Linked DNA regions of Caenorhabditis elegans. The protein of the gene in region 3 purifies or fractionates together with the protein of the main gene of each other region. This does not show direct contact. Each region holds a gene or a part of one and is shown on either strand. Other genes may lie near its edges.

Evidence for each region.
Region 1: the proteins of tba-4 (region 3) and tbce-1 fractionate together in Caenorhabditis elegans (co-fractionation; one large-scale study listed by BioGRID). This does not show direct contact.
Region 2: the proteins of tba-4 (region 3) and prp-17 fractionate together in Caenorhabditis elegans (co-fractionation; one large-scale study listed by BioGRID). This does not show direct contact.

What each region holds. Positions count from the first base shown.
Region 1 is NC_003282.8:8,291,145-8,298,541, forward strand, and holds tbce-1 (Tubulin-specific chaperone E), read left to right. Parts: upstream 1-3,545; coding exon 3,546-3,712; intron 3,713-3,975; coding exon 3,976-4,459; intron 4,460-4,541; coding exon 4,542-4,953; intron 4,954-5,003; coding exon 5,004-5,257; intron 5,258-5,886; coding exon 5,887-6,051; 3' UTR 6,052-6,139; downstream 6,140-7,397. Other genes in the region: N-alpha-acetyltransferase daf-31, read left to right, coding at 15-156; K07H8.2 (SLC41A/MgtE integral membrane domain-containing protein), read left to right, coding at 441-500, 588-691, 1,621-1,735, 1,787-1,963, 2,017-2,901, 2,955-3,137; nprl-3 (GATOR complex protein NPRL3), read left to right, coding at 6,349-6,392, 6,483-6,562, 6,607-6,682, 6,737-7,175.
Region 2 is NC_003279.8:10,933,301-10,941,726, reverse strand, and holds prp-17 (Pre-mRNA-processing factor 17), read right to left. Parts: upstream 4,913-8,426; 5' UTR 4,888-4,912; coding exon 4,200-4,887; intron 3,329-4,199; coding exon 2,639-3,328; intron 2,214-2,638; coding exon 1,994-2,213; intron 1,576-1,993; coding exon 1,470-1,575; 3' UTR 1,206-1,469; downstream 1-1,205. Other genes in the region: Y95D11A.3 (BZIP domain-containing protein), read right to left, coding at 1-144, 424-506, 907-1,042; F49D11.14 (uncharacterized protein), read left to right, coding at 5,022-5,279, 5,335-5,355; tag-296 (Glycolipid transfer protein domain-containing protein), read left to right, coding at 6,180-6,544, 6,588-6,692, 6,741-6,826, 7,488-7,612; F49D11.10 (WD_REPEATS_REGION domain-containing protein), read left to right, coding at 8,024-8,100.
Region 3 is NC_003280.10:10,916,112-10,922,301, forward strand, and holds tba-4 (Tubulin alpha chain), read left to right. Parts: upstream 1-2,594; 5' UTR 2,595-2,606; coding exon 2,607-3,299; intron 3,300-3,352; coding exon 3,353-3,873; intron 3,874-3,918; coding exon 3,919-4,051; 3' UTR 4,052-4,105; downstream 4,106-6,190. Other genes in the region: F44F4.10 (PARP catalytic domain-containing protein), read right to left, coding at 1-190, 516-805, 863-991, 1,050-1,106.

The DNA.
Region 1 (7,397 bases), on a different chromosome or scaffold from region 3:
ATGACAAATTCCAGATATTACGCGGATGGAGAAGATGCATACGCTATGCGTCGCGATCTCGCAAAATGGGCAGAAGAACGGAACATCGAGCCAGCAGATCGAGAGGCCTATACCACTGCAAAAACCACTGACGATAAAAAGAAAAATCGCAGTTAATTCGTTATCAAAGTTTATTTTTGCCTTTTCCAACTGGTTCATTCTGATACTTTCTCTGTTCTCCCCTTTCAGGAGGATCTCTTTTCTTTCAATTCTCGTTTCCTCCTCTGGTTTTAGATTAGGTAAAAATTTAAGTTTTCCCCTGAATAATCTCTTTGATCCCCCTTTGAAAGCTCATTAATAAATTTAAAGCATTAAAATGGTTTGTAGATGTTATAAGCAGTTGATTTCTGTATTCAAATATCTGTAAATATTTATTTCGACCTTTAAAGTTAATGTTTTAGATGAAAGGTGGCGGTGGAATAGGGGATGGCAAAAAGGACTATCAATCAGCTGTTCATGAAGTAAGTTTTTATTAAAAACTCTGTTATTCCTTTTAATAGTTTTGAGTGATTCAGATGAAATATAGATTTTAAATCTAAATTTTTCAGGGATTAACAACATTCGATCAATTGGGAATTGCACTTGAAGATGTCGGTAAATCAATGGACGCAGAAACAGCTACACCAGGAGGAAGTTTATTTTCCAGAGTTATGTAAGTGATTCGGTTATTCTCGAAAAAAAACTCATTGTTGAAAATGTAGCACTATTTTCTAACATTTCAACAAATAAAATTCTGGCTCACTACCGAGTTCGTATTTTCAACATTGAACAGACACATGGAATTGTTTTCAAAAATCATTCGGTCTCACACATTATGGAGGGAGAAACAGTTTAACCTCAACGCAAATCCGATTTGGTCGAATCGTTTCATCGCCTCTCCCTCTGCTCTCATAAAACAAATAGATTGAGAGTGGTGTTACACGAGTTTTCCATACCAAATGAGATCCTTTTTGACAGGTCGGAGAGAGAATTTATTTGTTTTGATAGAGACTCAAAACTAAAAGTTATGATTTTGCCCAGAATGTTATAATATTTCACGACAAGTATAACTTACAAATGAAGAAACGAAAAATGTTCTTCCTGTTTTTTTAATTTCTGAAAATCATTAGAAATTGGTTAGTTATTCTTTTTCGCATCGATTCCAGTTTGAGCTCATGTATTATCATTGTCAAAAGTTTGACGCAATTAAGCGACTATTCATGTTACATTTTTCTGCAATTGAGCTACATTTCGCCAATAATATAAGTTTTTTTTTAAATCTTGTTCATGATATATCAAAGTTAACACAGGTTTTTTTTTCTAATTTCTGACTAGAACGATCTTTGTAGGTACAAATTTCTTCGAAATTCTATAGCCAAAAAGTGATAAGATGATGTCTCAATGATTCTCGACACTTCTAACAAATAAATAACCTGATTCTACATTTTCGAGGTCATTCATACTTTGGTTTCTCATTTTTCTTTCCAGTTGAGTTGAAAGTCGTAGTTTTGATTCCGAACTTAAAATTTTCCTCATTTCTTTTACATTATGTAATTTTTTTTTGCAAAATTATATTCCAAACAGTATATTAATCCGATCCAGTTTTCGTTTCAGGAACGAAAATTCTTCACTAAAATCGAGGACGTACGACCATTCAAACGATCTTGTGAACATGTCGGTGATTCCTGCCGAATCGAGTTATGTACTCTTTTTCCAAGTAAGTTTTTCAGGTATTTTACAAAAGAAATTATGAACTTGCTGTTTTCAGGTTCTCTTTCCGTTTGCCGTCGCTGGTCTTGGAATGGTATTTGCTGGATTGGTTCTCTCAATAGTAGTCACATGGCCTTTGTTCGAAGAAATCCCTGAAATTCTGATTCTAGTTCCAGCACTGCTTGGGCTTAAAGGAAATCTGGAAATGACACTAGCCAGTCGACTCTCAACACTTGTGAGTTTACACTTGAGAATATTCAATTTTATAATTTTCTATCAATTTTTCAGGCTAACCTTGGTCATATGGATTCTTCAAAACAACGAAAAGATGTAGTCATCGCCAACTTGGCACTTGTGCAAGTTCAGGCTACTGTCGTCGCTTTCCTCGCTTCTGCTTTTGCCGCTGCTCTCGCTTTCATTCCTTCTGGGGATTTCGATTGGGCTCATGGTGCATTGATGTGTGCAAGCAGCCTAGCTACAGCATGTAGTGCATCCCTCGTACTATCACTGTTAATGGTGGTTGTCATTGTGACATCTCGAAAATACAACATCAATCCCGATAATGTGGCCACACCAATTGCTGCATCACTTGGAGATCTGACGACACTCACTGTACTGGCTTTCTTCGGATCCGTGTTCCTCAAAGCTCATAATACTGAATCTTGGCTCAATGTTATCGTGATTGTATTATTCCTTCTTCTCCTTCCTTTCTGGATAAAAATTGCCAACGAGAATGAAGGAACACAGGAGACTCTCTACAATGGATGGACACCAGTCATCATGTCAATGCTTATCAGTAGTGCTGGAGGATTTATATTAGAAACCGCAGTCCGAAGATATCATAGCTTGAGTACATACGGTCCAGTATTGAATGGTGTTGGAGGGAATTTGGCTGCTGTTCAAGCCAGCAGACTCTCTACTTATTTCCATAAAGCCGGCACAGTTGGAGTTCTTCCGAATGAATGGACTGTCAGTCGATTTACCAGTGTTCAGCGTGCATTCTTCTCAAAAGAATGGGATTCTCGATCGGCTCGAGTTCTTTTGTTACTCGTTGTTCCTGGTCATATTTGCTTCAATTTCCTTATCCAGTTATTCACTTTGACTTCAAAGAATAATGTGACACCCCATGGACCACTTTTCACCAGTCTTTATATGATTGCGGCAATCATTCAGGTAAGGTTTTATCGAAAATTTAAAATATATAATCAAAATTTCAAAAATTGCAGGTTGTCATACTTCTATTCGTTTGTCAACTTCTCGTCGCTCTTCTTTGGAAATGGAAAATTGACCCAGATAATTCTGTGATTCCATATCTTACAGCTCTTGGAGATCTCCTAGGAACCGGACTCCTATTCATAGTATTCCTCACTACTGACCATTTTGATCCAAAGGAACTCACTTCGTCATAATTTTAAAACGTTCAAACTTTTACCACATTGTATAACTGCATCCCCGTTATTATAGATTGGTTCTCATCCCCCATCTGCATGTAAAACAGTATTTCGCTAACCTAATTTTTCATTTTCACAACTAACGCACTTTCATCAGAACTCTAGTCAAACCCGATGAGTTGATTGATATCCATTTGCCGTCAAGCGCATAATTTTCTGTACATTGTGATCCATTTTTCTCTCTAGCTATTTTTGGTCATATCTAATAGACATTTTGCATTTTCCGCTAGTCACTATGTATTTTTTGGGAATAAATAAGTTAATTTGAACTTTTAAATTTAATTAATTTTTATCTCTGGACATCTTATTCCGCGAGTGGTCCAATAATTTTGACAAGATGGGCCAAGAAAAAAAACAATTTTCCAGATGGAAATAGGACAACGAGTTCGAATAAATTTCGAAGTAGCAACAGTTCGATATATTGGAGAAGTCGATGGATACGGTAGTCAACGATGGGTTGGATTGGAGTGGGATGATCCGACACGTGGAAAACATGATGGAATTGTGAGAGGAAAACGATACTTTCAGACGAGGTTAACAGACATTTTCATCAGAAATATATTCTATAGACATTTCTCATTCGAAACTGTCGGAAATGAATTCCAAATTGGGACAAAAAATGGAAGTGATCTCCGCTGTACACATTTTCATAGTTTTATGGCGGTCTCCATGAACTTTTAAATATACAGTGTCGGGGGATTATTTACCGTATTTAACACTCCAATTACTTTCCCTTAAAAATTCGTCACTAAATAATACAAACTAGTCACAAAAGTGTGAACTTTCAAATTTTCAGACATCCAAATGGAGGATCATTGATGAAGCATGAAATAGTACCGAAACCAACTGATCTATTGTTTGAAATCAAAGACAGATACATCGAGGAAGAGAGCGTCGAAACTGAAATTGAATTGGCGCAATCCAATAAGAAGATCGAGTTGATCGGAATGGATCAAACGGCTGCAAAACAAAGCAATATCGAGAAACTTATAAATATTGTTCTTGATAATCGATCAGTCGGCTTCCCACCTTCCTCGGATTCTCCCCAATTTATACTTTGTCGTGAACTTAATCTTTATGGAAATCTACTGTACAAATGGAAAACAGTTCGTCAGATTCTTGAATATTTTCCTAGAATTCAAGAACTCAACTTACGAAGGAATCGCATGCAATGCTTCAATGAAGAAGAAGATGATGATGAATCAGAAGGAGATGATCATGTTTATTCGGATAGTTGTAAGAAATTGGTCATTAGTGAATGCAATTTATCTGAGAATTCGGTAGGTTAAAGATTAAAGGTTAAAGGAATACCAATGAAATATTAAAAAAAAAGTGTCTAGAATTGCTATTTTTATTTTTCAGATCGACTCGATTCTTCTCCGGTTCCCCTCTACATCAGATGTCGTGGCGTTTGGTAATGATCTCACAAGATTCTCAGTTTCTGAAGCTGTTTCATCTCGTCTTACATCCCTCGATCTCGAAGATAATCCATTCAAAACACTAGATTCCATTCACGGAACTTTTCCGAATTTGACACAACTTTCTGTGGCGAATTGTGGAATTACGAGCTTAAACGGATTCGATGGTTCGATAAAATTCCCGAAACTCGAATATCTGAACATAAAAAGAAATTCAATTGTTGAATGGAAAAGTGTAAATTCCATTAGATCTCTTAAAAGTTTGAAACGGTTATTGTTCGATTGCAAAAAATTATCAACTGAAAAGGGTGTCCATGCCTATGAGATTGTAATTGCCAAGTTGAGCACTTTAATAGGTTGGTTTCAAAAATATTAAAAATTATTTAAAGTAGATGTTTTTTTCTAGATCTCAATAGGTTTGATGTGTCAGAAGTAGAACGAAGGTCTGCAGAAATTCGATTTCTGAACAAATATGCCGGTCTAAATGATAACGAAGATCATCAAGACGATATCAAAAGACTGATTGAAATTCATGGAGAACCGACACTTGATACAGCAAAAAAGGGCCTTGCGGTGGTGAAAATTAGAATTGAATGTGGAAATCGAGTGGAGACACGAAGGCTTCCATTGGGAATGAGCATACAGAAAATTAGAGATATGGTAGGCAAATGAACAATCATTATTATTTGAATCAAGAAGACATGCATGTACTTTTGAAAATGCAAAGAATTTAATTTAAAAATGTATTATCTTGATTCGATTATTTTGGGGACGCAGAAACGCGCTCCACTTCCAATTGAAAACGTAACGAGCAATGGGTCTCGCTAGGTATTTGACAGAAAACTGTAAAATCAAACGTTTCTAGTTTGTTTTGCCGATTTCGCTAATTTTAAAGATTTTTTGTTATGTTTTCCGTTGTTTCCAAAGATTTTTATGCCGAAAGTAATGAAATAAAAATTTGAGACAAAATAGAAAAAATCATTAGCATTTCATTTTTAAACATCTCTTCGACATAAAAATCATTAAAGAATGAAAAACGAACCAAAAAAAGACGAAAAATGTTTAAAAATAGGCGAAATCAGTAAAACTAATTGAAACATTTTAATTTACGGTTTTGTCGCCTAATACCTAACGAGACCCATAGTTTGTGGGCGGAGCATTTAAAATTAACCGTTGAGCGTGTTTTCAGATCAATGTCTAAAGTGTTTTTTTCTGCGTCCCCATATAGAGGCTAGTTTCATCAAAAAATAGAGGCTAAATACTTCCATCAAAAATTTTATTTTTTCCAGCTCGCTCGTCTCTTCAAAGTCCCCAATACATCGAAAATCCGTCTATACCTCGTTATGAGTGAAAAAGCCAAACAACACCGAATTGAACTAGAAAATCCGTTAAGAGAATTTGGACACTATTCACCTTCAGAAGATCGAGATATTCTTGTTGTGGAACATGATTGAATTGTTACCGGAAGATTATTTATTGCACAACTTATTGTTTGTTACAAAATATATGAGCTTTAACTTGCATAAAATTCCTTAATTTCTTATCAGCGAAAATGTCCGTTAAAAATACTATCCGTTATGTATCGATTTCAATACTATTTACAATTATTCCGATTATGGAATAAAATCAATCAGTGAAAATTTCACTTTTGAAAATTTCGTCATATGCATGGGTCTCGCAACTATTGTTGGTTTTTTTTGTACTGTGATCTACTATTGCATACCAGAAAATCTTTTTTGAATTTTTGAAGAATGTCAGCGAAAGAAGTGGATTTCGAGAGAGAAAGTCATCTTCAGTGAGTTTTTAAATTACTGAAAATCAATAGTTATTTGTGATCTTGTTGAATAAAGTTCAATTTATCATAAAAATAATTTTGAATTTTCAGTGCTGTGATGTGTTTTCTCACTGGACAAAGCGGCGAAAAGATTGTATCTATTTATCCACATCGAAAACCAGCTACCAAAGGTAATCTGAACAATATAAAATCTCAAAAAAAAAAACATTTTCAGCTCCATCGAAAGATCCACAACCTTCCAGCTCTAATCCAGGACAATGTGTGAAGCCAGTTCTTACAAGTGTCAAAGAGTTCGTTTAAATCCGAATATTTAAATTTAAATATTCAAACGTTCAAAATTTCAGTCCAAGTTATGGTTTCGGACGTGTGGATACAGAATTCGACATGTCTCTCGGAATGCTTGCTTATGTGTTCAAAACTCAAGAAATTGCGTGTAACGATGGGTTCGATATGAAGATCAATAATCAAAGATTCGTTGCATATCCGAAGACATGGAAAGCACGTGGTGAATCCACCAACTATCAGATTTCGATTGTTTTTGCACTTAAAAACGGATGTGAACAGCACACAGCGTCCGCATATCAAACACTTTCGAATAAGATTGCAGTCAGTTTGGTCATGCTCCAAAACTATTTTGGATTTCTGGAACGAGAGGACAAGTGGGCAGATAATGCTGAAGAACCTAATAAAGATCATCCTCTGGAAGAGTTCGCAAAGACTAGTTTCATAGTTCAACCATTGGCTGAAATGTTTGAAGAAGTGCGAAATCGAGGAAATATTCATGTAAGATTCAAATTCTTTTAAATTCAGATTTGTTTCCACTAAAGGTTCTATCAGATTTTGATTACAATATTTATTGTAATTTCGCGATATTTTTGACATGTCATTTCAAAGGAACACGCATTTTTCCCATGGTGGTCTTGTCACGATATCAGGGTGCCAGACTTTACAGATTTGTTCATTTGATGTAGAAAAAAAACTTTTGAAATTTTAAATTCTAACCTG
Region 2 (8,426 bases), on a different chromosome or scaffold from region 3:
TGGCTGAACTGGAGCCACCGTTGACGGCAGTGACGTCATCATTGATGACGTGGAAGGCACAGATTGATCAATATATTCGACATCGTCAATTTCTTCATTATTTTTGAGTTGATTCGGGTCGAGCTGATGAATTTGATCAGTTTCCTGGAAAAACTTGGAAAAATTAGCTTTTTTTTAAAGGAAATTTTGTTTTTTGCGGCAAAAATAGAATGGTAATAGGTCTCGACGCGAAGATAATATTTTCTGATTTTCAACAAATAAATACTTTTGTTTTCAACGAAAAAATATGAAAAATCAGCAAAAGTTCGAAACTACAGTAACCTTCAAAGGCGCACACCTTTTTTAATTTAACAAAAATTGTCGTGTCGAGACCGGGTACCGTAGTTTTGGCTCAAAAATCGCCAAATTTCGGATAATTGATACCTCATCGAATAAATAAACATCATTTGGATCCACGTCATTGGGAAATTGGTAGTGATGGTGATAACCGCTGGTGCTTGGCTCATCTGGAAATTTGAATTTTAAGAATTTCTGAATTTTTGAATTAAAAAAAAATTTTTCAACGGTTTATCGATTTTTTCTGTTATTTTTATTGACTTTTCGGTCAAAAAATGCAATTTTCTATAATTATTTTTTCGAAAATTGAATTTTTTGCGAAAAAAAAACAAGAAAAGATTTTTTGCCGGCATTTCAATTTTCAAAACTTTAAAATTGACCATATGTCGATTTACGAAGCATGTGTACTCCCCGTGGAGAAGATTTTACACTTTTCCGTTAAAATTCTTGATTTTGAACAATTTTTGCTGATTTTTTTCTTCAATTTAATATTCAAAACGCCTTTTTATCACTATTTTAGGTTTCATTTTTTGGAATTCTGGAATTTTTCAGCGTAAAACTGTTCCGTACCATGAGAAAATGGTTCATCTTGTGTCCCTTGACCATCATGTTCCTCTTCATCATATTTTACATCAAAACTATCAATTTCTACTTCATAAGCGACGACTTGCTCGTCAACCATTATGAGCTCCGGTTGAGAAGCCATCTGAAATTTTATTTATTTGAAAAAATTGAATTTTTTTAAGAGTTATAAATTTCCAAAAAAATATATAACTTTTTTTCATAGAAAAAAAAACTAATTTTCCTTTAAAAAATTAAAATAAAATCTGGTCGATAACCATTAATTGGGTAAACTGAAATTTCAGGCTAAAAAATAAAAATAATTTTATCAATTTCCGTGTGTCGGAAATGTTCTGTAAGAATAGGGTTTAAAATTGGAAGAAAAAACAAATAAATGAACAAAGATACAAAATAAATAATTGAAACAGGAGAAAGTAAAACATTATTACGAAAAAAAAAATTTTTTTAATGAACAGGGAAATGTGAGAGATGGGACAAAAACTCGTGAGAAAAAGAGCCAAAATTTGGGAAAATAATAATTTTTTTTTGGGAAAAAAGGGAAAAATCAACAATTAATTCCACATTTTAATGAGACCATCCCATCCAGCAGTAATCATTCGGCTTTTTTCATGTGGATGCCATAGTGCTGCGATACAAGTGCTATCATGAGCTTTCCATCTGAAAATCATACATTTTTTGGAGGTTTTGGGGTTTTTTATTTTAATAATGGAAAATGTGGCGTATTTACTGAAAATAACGATTGAAAAATTGAAAAATTACGATTTTTTCAGAAATTTTGACGCATTAAAATCGAAAAAAAAGTTTATTTTTTGGATTTTTCGGGTTTAAAACTCAATTTTTAAGGTAAAAATCGTTAAAGTTGGGTACTTTTCACTTTTTTATTCAATTAGAATGTTTTAAATTAGAAAAAATTTAATTAAATGAGAGAAAATTTTATATTAAATTCAGGGCTTTCTCAGCATTTTTTTATATTAAAGCGCAAAATAATCGGAAAAATCGTGATTTTTAAATTTTTTACCAGTTTCCATCTTTTTTTTAAACAAAAAATCAATAATTTCCACATAGAAAACCTTACTTTCCAACAATTTTGTGTGTTCTCCAATCCCAAATAAACAATTTTCCATCAGCATCACCAGAGATTAGGAAACTTTGATCCGGCGAAAAATCGATATTGCACGCATATCCAGCCGCATTGTGTCCTCTGAAAGCCTTCTTTTTTGAGAATCGAAGCTTATCATCGACAAGCTGGAAAAGGACTATCCGATTGTCCATGCATTGTCCCACAACCCATTTATCTGGAAAAGAAATGAGAGAAATTTGAGCTTTAAGTATTTTTATTACAGGAGCACAAAGCATTGTGAATGTGTATTGAGCAACATATTCGACGCGCAAAATATCTCGTAGCGAAAACTACAGTAACCCTTAAAATGACTACTGTAGCGCTTGTGTTGATTTACGGGCTCGATTTTTGAAATATTTTTTTTTAAATAGTGGCAACGGTATTTCAGCTTCCTTCAATTTTGCGAAAAATTGGAGAAAAAATGAAAAATCGCTCACTATTCGAAATGAAATTCGTTCCGAAAATTGAGCCCGTAAATCGACACAACAGCGCTACAGTAATCATTTTAAGGATTACTGTAGTTTTCGCTACGAGATATTTTGCGCGTCATATACATTGCACAATACGCGTTCCCTGAATTTAATGTTCCTCAATAATTACCATTAGGACTCTTTGTCATAGTCGGAATCGCATGAAGTCCAACATTTTGAATAAGTTTCGTGTCTACTGGGATCTCCCATTCCCAAATTCTGACACTTTTATCATCAGAAGTGGATGCGAAACGACGATTCTTGTCGAAAAATGTGATAGAATTGACTGCCTGCAAGTGACGATCGTATTCTTGAACAATTTCTCCAGATCTTGAATCCCATTGAATAATCTTCTTATTCTGCATTCCAACCAAAAACATATGATTCTTATCATCATCTGGATGATATTTCAAGCAATACGGTACGTGTCCAGTATGAAATCTCTGCTTAACTTGTCCAGTTTCAGTATCCCAAAGCTTCACGTATCGATCAAAAGATGCTGACAAGAATTCTGTACCCTCATTATTAAATGCAACTTCACGAACAGGAAGCTTATGGCCTGCGTATGTTCTGACAACTCGCTGACGATCATATACTTCCCATAATTTGATTTTTGTGTCCATTGAGCATGACAAGAATAAATGAGCACTTTTCGGGAACCATTGAAGGAAATTGACACCTTTGTTATGTCCTCGATACGTGTGAACAAGCTTTTTCGGTACGAAACATCGCTCGGGAACGTAGTCCTCTCGGAGATTGACACCGGTGAATGATGGTGGAACAAGAAATGAGCGACCTTGGTAATCCTCGGCTTCTTTCACTGAAAAATTAATTATTAGAAGAGTTGATGTACTTCCAGAAAAACTTTTGAGCATAACCGAAAAATCGAACCATTCGAAAACCGAAAAAAATCTTCTGAAAACACTCTAAAATTGGTATTTCTTATTCAGAATGCAAAATTTTCGATTTTCGAAGCAATTTATCCATGTTAAGCGAAATATTGTTTCAAAATTTCAAGATAATTTAAAAAATAAGGTGCCAAATTTCGGTAAAATTCTTTAAAAAATTGAATCAAATTCCAAAAATGGCTAAACTGAGCTGAAATTGTTGAAATTAAACAACAAATAGCAAATTTTATCTTAAATCGTTAACAAACTTGGGCCAAATTTCACTAAAAATGTTTAAAATGATCAGATTAAATTTAGCAAAAATCTTGGAAAACTATCTTTTTCTCTTATCAATACAAATTGTTTTAGATTTCCCTTGAAATGCCAAAAAAATTTCGCTAAAAATAAAAAATAAAAGTTTAAAATCTCGGAAAAACAGTTAATTCGCTGAAAATCGGTTAAAAATTTCAAAAAAAGAAACGAAATTTCTCTGCAACGTTTAAAAATTGGGTTAAATATTCGAAAATGGCTAAAATGAGCTTAAAATTTTGCTTAAATCTAATAAAATGGCTCTAAAATTTGGCCAATTTTAGCTAAAATCGTAATTTATCCAATTAATCTTCCATTTTCACGTTTATCTAGCGTTTTCTGTTTATCTAATTACATTTTCAGTCAGAAAGAGCACAAATCTGATCAAAAAATCAACTGAAAATTGGAAAATTTCAGCTAAATTTAGCACATTTCCGGAACTTTAAAGGCCTTTTTGAGCCATTTCAAGCCAAACAATCAAGAATAAACTCGTACAATGAAGCGTGGAGCTCTCTTCAGCCATTTGCTCACTATCCTCCTTTTCTTTCTTGAATCGCCTGCTTTTTTCTTGCCTCTTCTTCACAATTTCATCCATTTGTTTCTGAAGTTCTGGTGTTGGTTTAGCGACTGTCTTTTCATCAATAAATCGACTCCATGGTCCAGTATATCCATCAATATCTGCTGAATCATCATTTCTAACTCGTTTTCTCTTCTCCCCGCCAGTCTTTTTCGATTCAAAAAGTGAAACTCCTTTCTCGGCTTCTGCTTTTTTGACGTCTCCCACGAAATGAGTTGTACCGGATTCGGCAGTCGGATTCTGAGCGTACCCAAGAGTATCAAAGCTTCGAATTTGTCGATTAAAATGAAATTCATTGAGATGTGCAGGCTCGACGAATCCTGTCAATGTGTTCTTTTGTGATCTTTGTTGCTCTGATTTAAAGTGATTTACTGGCCCAGATTCTGGCTTGAAGAGCTGATCAAATTTTGGATTTGATTTAATCTCTTTAGTCTTTGGATCTACAATCGCTACTTGTCGAATTGCACTTTTCGACTCAACGTCCGGAGCAGTGACTATGGCTCTTTCCAGCAATGTCGATGATTTTCCTTTTGCGACCTGATCCATGCTGGCGTCATCATCTGAGTGTTCACTGTCGCTACCGCCATACGCTTGTAGCGCATCCATTTTTGATTTGTTTGAGTTTCTGAAAAAAAAACTAATTTTAATTTTTAAATTTAAATTTCACGTTCGTTTTCGAGAAAAATAAGAAAAAAATTAACATTTCTCATTTCAAATACAGAGAAAAACTACAACAAAAAATGGACAAATATCAAGTTTCACACTATTTCAAGCACTATCAGACGGACACTTCGGAGCTCTATTGGTCCTACATTGGGCTCGCCGTCATCTTTGTCGTCTCCGCTTCGATACCGCTTTGGTTACAGTATCGGGCGGTTGGTGACGTGACAAATGGTGACGTGGCATGCGAGACTCCTGTTCAATGGCATTTGGAGCAAGAAATTGCGAAGATTAAGACGGATGCGAGACGGAAGAAAGGGAAAAAGAAGCGCGGATCGGTGAGGGATTGCCGAGAAAAAATAAATGAATCTGACAAATTCTGTATATTTTCAGCTTTCAACGGAGGAAAATTGATGTTCGTGCTGTACTTGATCTTTTAGAATAAATATTTTTCGTTAAATATGTCTTGAAACGTTTCTATCGATTTCTTGGAACAATTGTTTAACCTCCAGCGGGAAACTTTCAGACAAGAGAAATACACCCAAAAAACCAAATTGTGATGGTTCCCGATGCATTCCGACAAAATTTAGACAATTTCTAATAGCTTTTACATCAAAAATCAGCGCAAAAGCATTAAAAAACAAGGAAAACCGATATTTTTACACAAAAATAAATGAAAATTGCCATTCGAATGATTCGAAAAGAGAGTGTGCATTGGGGCGCTCTTGCATTACCATCGAAAAAATAAATTTTTATCAATTTTTTCCACGTTTTTCAGCTTTTTTTTTTCGGTTTTAGAAGTTTTTAAACGGATTTTTATGTTTCAAATTGTTTAAATACTAATTTATAATTTATTTAAGCATGTTTTCCGTTTTCACATTCGCCGAATACGGCGAAAATCCATGAAAATCAAAAATTGCTGATTTTTTACATAATTTCCCAATATATTGGTCAATACTCAAGAAGATTTGGTTCTGGAATTTCGTTAAAAAAAATGAATTTTACTCATTGTTTCTAAAGATAAATTCAATATAATTTTGTCGTCTCCAGTTTTGTTTTTCCTGCGATTTCTGATGCTTTTGAATCACGCGCTCACTATGAATCAGCAGTTTAAAATCAAAACAACGGCTTTTATAATACATTTGATGAAAGTTTATCGCCTCCTTTCGCTATTTTCTCTCTATTTTTGTGATTTTTTTTTCGTAAAAATCGATAAAATTCCAAAATTTCAGCTAAAAATGACCGAAGACACCGCTTCACCCTTCTGCATTAAGCTCGTAGCCACTCAAATGAAGAAACTCTCCACTGACGTCATTATCGTGGAGAAAAGTGACGTGGAAAACTGCCCGGAAGTGACTCCGGATGACGTTGAGCTTCTGACATTCGTCGAAGTCTACGAAGAGCTGTGCAAATTCATCGGAATGCTCGGAAAAATCTTTGAATTTGTGGAGAAAGATGTTCGTGAGAAGATTGATCTTCTGAAGGAGCTTCATACGGCGAATCCAGAAGGATACAAAACTGTAGTTGCTCTTGTTCACAGTGAAAAACCAATGGAGAAGAATGGAAAAGAGAGTGGAGCAGTGGCAATTTTACATTTAAATCGGTACTTTTTGACTAGAAATCTTAAAATTTCCTTGAATTTCCAGGGCTCTCGAGTTCATCGTCGAGTTCATGTATGCGGCAGTGGCTGCCACTAACGATGACAGCATTCCCAAGATTTGCAAGGAATGCTATGATGGAACCCTGGCAAAGTATGCTCTGAAAATCTGAATTTCATGTTATGAATTTTTAATTTCCAGACATCATCCATGGATCATTCGTACCGCTGTCAAAGTGGCCGTATACACTCTCCCAACACGTGAAAAAATGCTTGACTACCTTAAAGGTATGGGAAAGTCTGAAGAAAACTGGATTGCTAGGCCATGTGTTGATTTACGCGGCGCGTGTACTCCGCGAGAAGAAGAAATTTCAGATTTTAGACGATTTTCGCAAACTGATAATATTTTTCCCACAGAGTACACATCAATTGTCAGAAATTTTCACAATTTCTGCTTGAAAAGCTTCATTTTAGATCATTTTTCGATGATTTCTTCTCAATTTAGTTATGTTTTAGATGGAAAAAAAAGCTACAAATTCCTGATTTTCAATATATTAATACATTAATCCCTTTCAATTCTATCTGAAACACTAAAAATGAGAGAAAATGGTTCAAAATCAAATATTTCAGTTAAAAACTGGGAAAAATATTCTCCTCGGGGAGTACACAGGCTACGTAAATCGACATTATCACCCAAAAATGCAGAATTTCAGCTAAAAATATGATATTTTCTTGAATGTGTGCTCGTTTTTGCGGAATTAATTCCGCAAATTTAATTAACATGGATTTCTTCAAGTTTCTCTTGTGAAAATCGTAGAAAAAATACTCAAAAAATGGAAGAAAATTCCTCAAAATTATTGTGAACTACAGTAATCTTTAAAGGCGCACACACTTTTATGCATTTATTCAAAAAAAATCGATTTTCCATCTTTTCTCATAACTATCTTAGCAGGATCTGTCACCGACGAATCGCTGATCCGTGTGCTCATCGATGACGTCGTCAGCCACGGAAAAATTGTTCATTCGAGAATCAACACCATCTACACTGTCCACGAGCTCCATAAAATCGCATAATGGTCTTGGAAAATCGATTTGTCTGCACAAAATTGTTCTGAAAATATAATTTCCCTCTGAAAATCCTCATTTTTAAGCCATTCTGATCCAATCAAAAACACATTTTTAGCCCAAACTACGCATTTTCATGTCCATAATGTATTTTTACCCTCCAAATTTATTGGTTTTCATCCATTTCTTCCCCATTTCCACTGTGATTTAATCCCAATCGCCCTCTTTTTCTGGAAAAATCGCATAATGTGCCTTTAACTTGCATCCTGTAACATGTATTGCGTGTCTTTACAATTAAAACGAGATTTTTTTTGAATTTTTGATTTTTTTTTGAAGGTTTAGTCACCTTTTTTCATATCTTTTATATATGTTCAGCGACCTTTTTCAGATGAAATCCTGAATTTTAATCGATATTTTCAGATGGAAACTCTTGAAAATATTGAAGTCACACTTGTTGGGCAGCCCTACTCGAATTTGGTCATCTCACCAAATAATAGGTTCGAACTTGCGATAAATGCAGATTTAAAGGCGCATGGATCAATTTGGATGGGTCTCGGCGCGATTTTTGCAGAAATTTAAAGAGTTTTTTCGTAATAAGTGCTCCGGTAGAAGATGAAAAATCGAAAAAATGCCGTAAATTCCATCAATTTCAGTTATTTTCGCAGTTTTCAAAAAATTTTCCTTTAAAATATTCGAATTGACTTGAAATTAATTAAAACCGATAGAAAAAAATCGGCGAAAATAACTGAAACGTTTGAATTTACAATTTTGCCGTCAACACCCAACGGGACCCAAATTTGTAATTGGAGCATATTTGCACTTT
Region 3 (6,190 bases):
GTAGTGACGATGCTTCTTGGTGGTGGTGTAGTAGACGAGCATCAATGGAAGAGTCGCCGTGAGATGATCAAGGCGGTTGCCGACCTCGAATTGATGGTACAAGGCGAACTCTCCACGATTTTTGACCTGAGCTTCAGCGTCCGCAGAGCTGTACACACCGATGTAGGCAGTCTGGGAAGCATGGTGGCATCTGAAAATAGAAATTGAAACTGGAAATTATTCGCGTTTAAATTTCATGCTGATGCTATAACTGCGAGTACCCTAATAAATTTGTGTCTGCAGTAAATTACGATACTACCTAGATGCGTAAAATTTGAAGCCCAGCCAGGTTCTGGCACGTGCGAAACTCAACTACAGTACCCGCGAGTACGGTAGGTTTTCTCTTTTTCAATTAACGATTCTCAATTTTTAACTGCGAAACACGCTCGGGTACGAAAATCAGGATGTTTTGTTCGTGCCAGGACCCACTATTTCGAGTGAAGATTTTTCGGGAAGCCATGCTCCTTTGAACTCACTTCACATTGCTCTCCAAAGATTCAGTCGTAACTGGACCAGAGAAGTTCGTGGATCCTTCAATAGAGGCCAAGCTCTCATATGTACTCTCTACTGGCTCCGGCTTCTTCTTCTTTCGCTCCTTACTTCCTCTTCGCTTGCCCTTCGACTCCTTCACCTCCAACTTTCTCAGCTTGTCCGCAAGCTTCTCAGCCACCTGTTCCTCTTTGCTTTGCGGCAGCAGAAGATTCACGTACTCGTCGTCCGCTGGTTTTTTACCGTTGGAGCACTGACTGTCTGGCTTCGATTTATTCTGAAAAAGAGCATGTTGAAGCTTCAGAAGTTTTAAACTCGAAATTTCAGAACTTACCAGGCTCAGCGGCTCGTAGATGCTGTTGTACGGAGTTCTGGAGTTCCCATCGTCCACACTTTCCGCTTGATTTTTACCATAAGGGCACTGACCGTTGTGCTTGCAACATCCATCCGGCTTTGATTTGATCTGAAAAAGATACTGTTAAAGCTTCAAAAGCTCAAACTGAAAAGCTTAAAAAACTTACCAAGTTCAGCGGTTTGTAGAGGCTGTTGTACGGAGTTCGTGAGTTCCCATCGTTCATTATTTGCACCTCTTGATTAGTTGGAACTTTGTTTTACAGAAATATCAAACAATGATTGAAAAATCCACAAAATCTCCCTTGTTGTTTTTTCTTCGTTTTACCGAGTTTATTGTGGTTGCAAGAATAACCTTTCGGCCACGTAACAAAAATTGTCTTACTTTTGTGTATATTGTTGTGTTTTTTTTTCAAGTTTAAAAAAAAAAAAAAGCATATTAGACTGTGACAAAGCTTGTATCACGTTCTGCCATTCAACTTATCCCCCGAATATTCATTTGATCTTTGCCTTTCCCCATTCAGTAATCGTGAAGCTGTCGAATTATTGATGGATCTAGCATTTATGAGCAAGCTAAGGATGATTCTCAACACGTGACTAATGACCATGTGAGCCTCTCCATTTTATAGTCTGGCAAATACATACACATACCAAAAACCCAATTATCTATGGGATTGACCAGCAAGTCGGCAAATTGCCGGAATTGAAATTTTCGGCAAATCGGCAAATCGGCAAATTGTGGTTTTGCACATTTTTTTTGAAAATTTCAAAAGTTCAATTTTAATCGGCAAAATTGAACGCAACCTATGAATGTTCCTACATCTATCTTGAAAAAAAAAATCAAAAAGACACAGTTTTAAGTGTTTCCATTTTATAAAAAAACTCCTCTAAAAAGTTCCGGCAAATTGATGTTCGATAAACGGCAAATTGGCAATTTTCCGAAAATCAAAATATCCGGCAAATCGGAAAACCGGCGAATTGCCGATTTGCCGAATTTGCAGCCCATCCCTGTTCCCAAAGCCGTTTGCACGGTTATTTTTGGCCTAATGCCGCATTGAAAAATATCTTCAACATGATTTATTTCAAGATAAATCAATATCAAAAATAATACCCGGAGATCCACTAGTCTTGGACAAACAGTGCTCGAGGATCATTTCTTGCACTCCGGTTATATCAAACGAGAATTCTCATTGACCAGATAAAAATTCCTTTTTTGTGCATTGATCGGCATCATTGAACGTTAACCATGAAAAAGAAAACGATGCGACAGAAAATCAATCAACTGCAAGATCGTCAAAAAATGCGATTGAGTCATCGTAAAAACTGCATGCGTGGTGTCACAAATGCATGGTAGCTGTAACTATTTTTTTGAAGCTTCTGAACAAGAAATGAAAATCCATAATTAAACGTGTCATTTTATAATTTAATCGACACAGCAGCAACCACACATTTCGTAATGTGTCTCTCCACCTATCATTATTACTTTTCGTCCCCTTGCTTTTGCACTTACATCGACCATTTCTCATTTTCTCTCTCCACTGGCGCAACACTATTTCCCTATTTCTTCATAGTTCTTCTTGGCCTCGCCGCTGACCACTATTGTCCTTCTCTTCTCCCCGTAGTATACATAACGCCCGTATATCTTTGCGTTCCTACGTTCTACGATTTTATAGTTAATTTTACTATTCTGAACCTAAATTTCTTTCAATTTTCAGAGAAAAAAAACCATGCGTGAGGTAATCTCCATTCACGTTGGACAGGCGGGAGTTCAAATTGGAAATGCTTGCTGGGAACTATACTGTCTCGAGCACGGAATTCAACCCGATGGAACTATGCCTTCTGAGCAACAAAATGAGGGTGGATCCTTCACCACGTTCTTCTCAGATACTGGAAATGGACGCTATGTTCCGAGATCTATTTTTGTGGATCTTGAGCCAACAGTCGTCGACGAGATCCGCACTGGAAACTACAAGAAGCTGTTCCATCCAGAACAAATGATCACTGGGAAGGAAGACGCTGCTAATAACTATGCTCGTGGTCACTACACCGTTGGCAAGGAGCTCATCGACACTACTCTTGACAGAATCCGTCGTCTCGCCGACAACTGTAGTGGTCTTCAAGGATTCTTTGTCTTCCACTCCTTCGGTGGAGGTACTGGATCCGGATTCACCTCACTGCTGATGGAACGTTTGTCGGTTGACTACGGAAAGAAGTCGAAACTAGAGTTTTCAATCTATCCAGCTCCACAAGTTTCCACTGCAGTCGTTGAGCCATACAACTCGATCCTTACTACTCATACTACTTTGGAGCACTCCGATTGTGCATTCATGGTTGATAACGAGGCGATCTACGACATTTGCAAGCGAAATTTGGATGTTGACCGACCGAGTTACACCAATCTCAACAGAATTATCTCTCAGGTTTCGCAAAATACTTGTTTTAATGTATCCTATGTGTTTCCTTTTCTTTTCAGGTTGTGTCTTCAATCACCGCTTCACTCAGATTTGACGGAGCTCTCAACGTGGATCTCAACGAGTTCCAGACCAACTTGGTGCCATACCCAAGAATTCATTTCCCATTGGCCTCTTACACTCCATTGATCTCTGCCGAGAAGGCATATCACGAGGCTCTGTCTGTCAATGACATCACCAATAGCTGCTTCGAACCAGCAAATCAGATGGTCAAATGTGATCCACGCAACGGAAAGTACATGGCTGTCTGTCTTCTGTACCGCGGAGATGTTGTGCCGAAGGATGTGAACACTGCAATTACTGCCATCAAAACCAAGAGATCAGTTCAATTTGTGGATTGGTGCCCAACTGGGTTCAAGGTTGGAATCAACTACCAACCACCAACTGTGGTTCCAGGAGGTGATCTTGCCAAGGTGCCACGCGCCGTGTGCATGCTCTCCAACACTACGGCTATCGCCGAGGCCTGGTCCCGCCTGGACTACAAGTTTGACTTGATGTACGCCAAGCGCGCCTTTGTTCACTGGTAAGATTCGAGTTGTTTGAAACACAAAATATCGATTATTTGCAGGTACGTCGGAGAAGGAATGGAAGAGGGAGAGTTCACTGAGGCTCGTGAAGACTTGGCAGCTCTCGAGAAGGACTACGAAGAGGTCGGAGCTGATTCCAACGAGGGATTGGAAGAAGACGGAGAAGAGTATTGAAATGTTCACTGTTAAATACTTATGTATCATAAAGTGTTTAAATTATTAACAATTGCGAGTTTGATTGGAGGAGATTTTTTTACAAAGAAAGGGGGAAAATGGCCTATTCCATTCAATCCCAAAATGAGAAGCTTTTGGAATGCCGTTTTTAAATGCTGAAAGAACACAAAATTCGCAATGAAATGGCTACGGGAATTTCTTTACAAGTTATTTTGAAACCAGATATACATTTTCAAAGTTTATAAAATCTACTAATTTTGCATATAAATGGTCAGTTTCATTCCATTTCATAATGTGCTTTAAAAGGTATGGCCGACGTCACACTTTATAGTGTCTTCCTTGTCATTGTGCTGCTCAGCCCGCAGAGTTCCAATCAGTTTTCGGTAAGGCTTATCACTGGAAACTCCTAAAACCATGGGTTTTTTATGTGAACATTGTAGGGGCAAATACCTAAACTTTTCCTTCTTTTGATTTTAGGCTTTCAATGACGTCTGGAAGTGATATTTTTCGTAGTTTCAACACGCTCGGCGGACCAAATAACCTCATAAACTCGCTAAACGGAGTATCTTCAAACTGACATATCTCAAAAAACACACTTCTAGAAAGCAATTGTTCAAACAACAAAATAATCAGAAACATTTTTTCTATTTATTACTTTAATTTTTATTTTAATACACCAGCTATTTGTAGAGTTACACAGAGTCAAAGCCATTTTCCCAGAAATCATGAAAAATTTTGAGAACTCTTTTGTTGTGCCCGTCATAACCCAACGTTCATTGAATTGCAGAAAAAACTTTTCATGAGTTGTATGTAAGAACTATTTCTCTACATTTTATCAGTTTTAAGATTTTTGATATTTTCATGTTCAGCCAAGTTACAGACCGTTTTCTGAAAAAATCCAATTTCGCTCATAAAACTCTTCATATCTAACGTATCGACTTGAAATTTTGAACAATGATCTTTCTTTTGAGGTCTCTACAATGTCCTAAAAAATCTTTCGAAAATGTTGGCTCATCTCCAAAATCGTCCTCCGCTCCAAAATAAGAAATGGGACTTTTGCTTTTCGAAAAATGGGCGAAAAAATTAAATTGCGATTTTTGGGTCGAAAAATATATTTTTAGAAAGCTGAGAACACGCCATTTACGAATTTCATGTTCATTTTAGGTGATTTCTTCTCTGAAACGACCTAAAAATTAAACAAAAAGAACATATTTTTAATTCTCACGTGTAATTATTTGGTAATTTGCTCAGTATTTCAATTGTTTTAATGCAAATTAAAAAATTAAACGTGAGAATTAAAAATATGTTCTTTTTGTTTAATTTTTAGGTCGTTTCAGAGAAGAAATCACCTAAAATGAACATGAAATTCGTAAATGGCGTGTTCTCAGCTTTCTAAAAATATATTTTTCGACCCAAAAATCGCAATTTAATTTTTTCGCCCATTTTTCGAAAAGCAAAAGTCCCATTTCTTATTTTGGAGCGGAGGACGATTTTGGAGATGAGCCAACATTTTCGAAAGATTTTTTAGGACATTGTAGAGACTTCAAAAGAAAGATGATTGTTCAAAATTTAAAGTCGATTAGATATGAAGAGTTTTATGAGCGAAATTGGATTTTTTCAGAAAACGGTCTGTAACTTGGCTGAACATGAAAATATCAAAAATCATGAAACTGATAAAATGTAGAGAAATAGTTCTTACATACAACTCATGAAAAGTTTTTTCTGCAATTCAATGAACGTTGGGTTATGACGGGCACAACAAAAGAGTTCTCAAAATTTTTCATGATTTCTGGGAAAATGGCTTTGACTCTGTGTAACTCTACAAATAGCTGGTGTATTAAAATAAAAATTAATGTAATAAATAGAAAAAATGTTTCTGATTATTTTGTTGTTTGAACAATTGCTTTCTAGAAGTGTGTTTTTTGAGATATGTCAGTTTGAAGATACTCCGTTTAGCGAGTTTATGAGGTTATTTGGTCCGCCGAGCGTGTTGAAACTACGAAAAATATCACTTCCAGACGTCATTGAAAGCCTAAAATCAAAAGAAGGAAAAGTTTAGGTATTTGCCCCTACAATGTTCACATAAAAAACCCATGGTTTTAGGAGTTTCCAGTGATAAGCCTTACCGAAAACTGATTG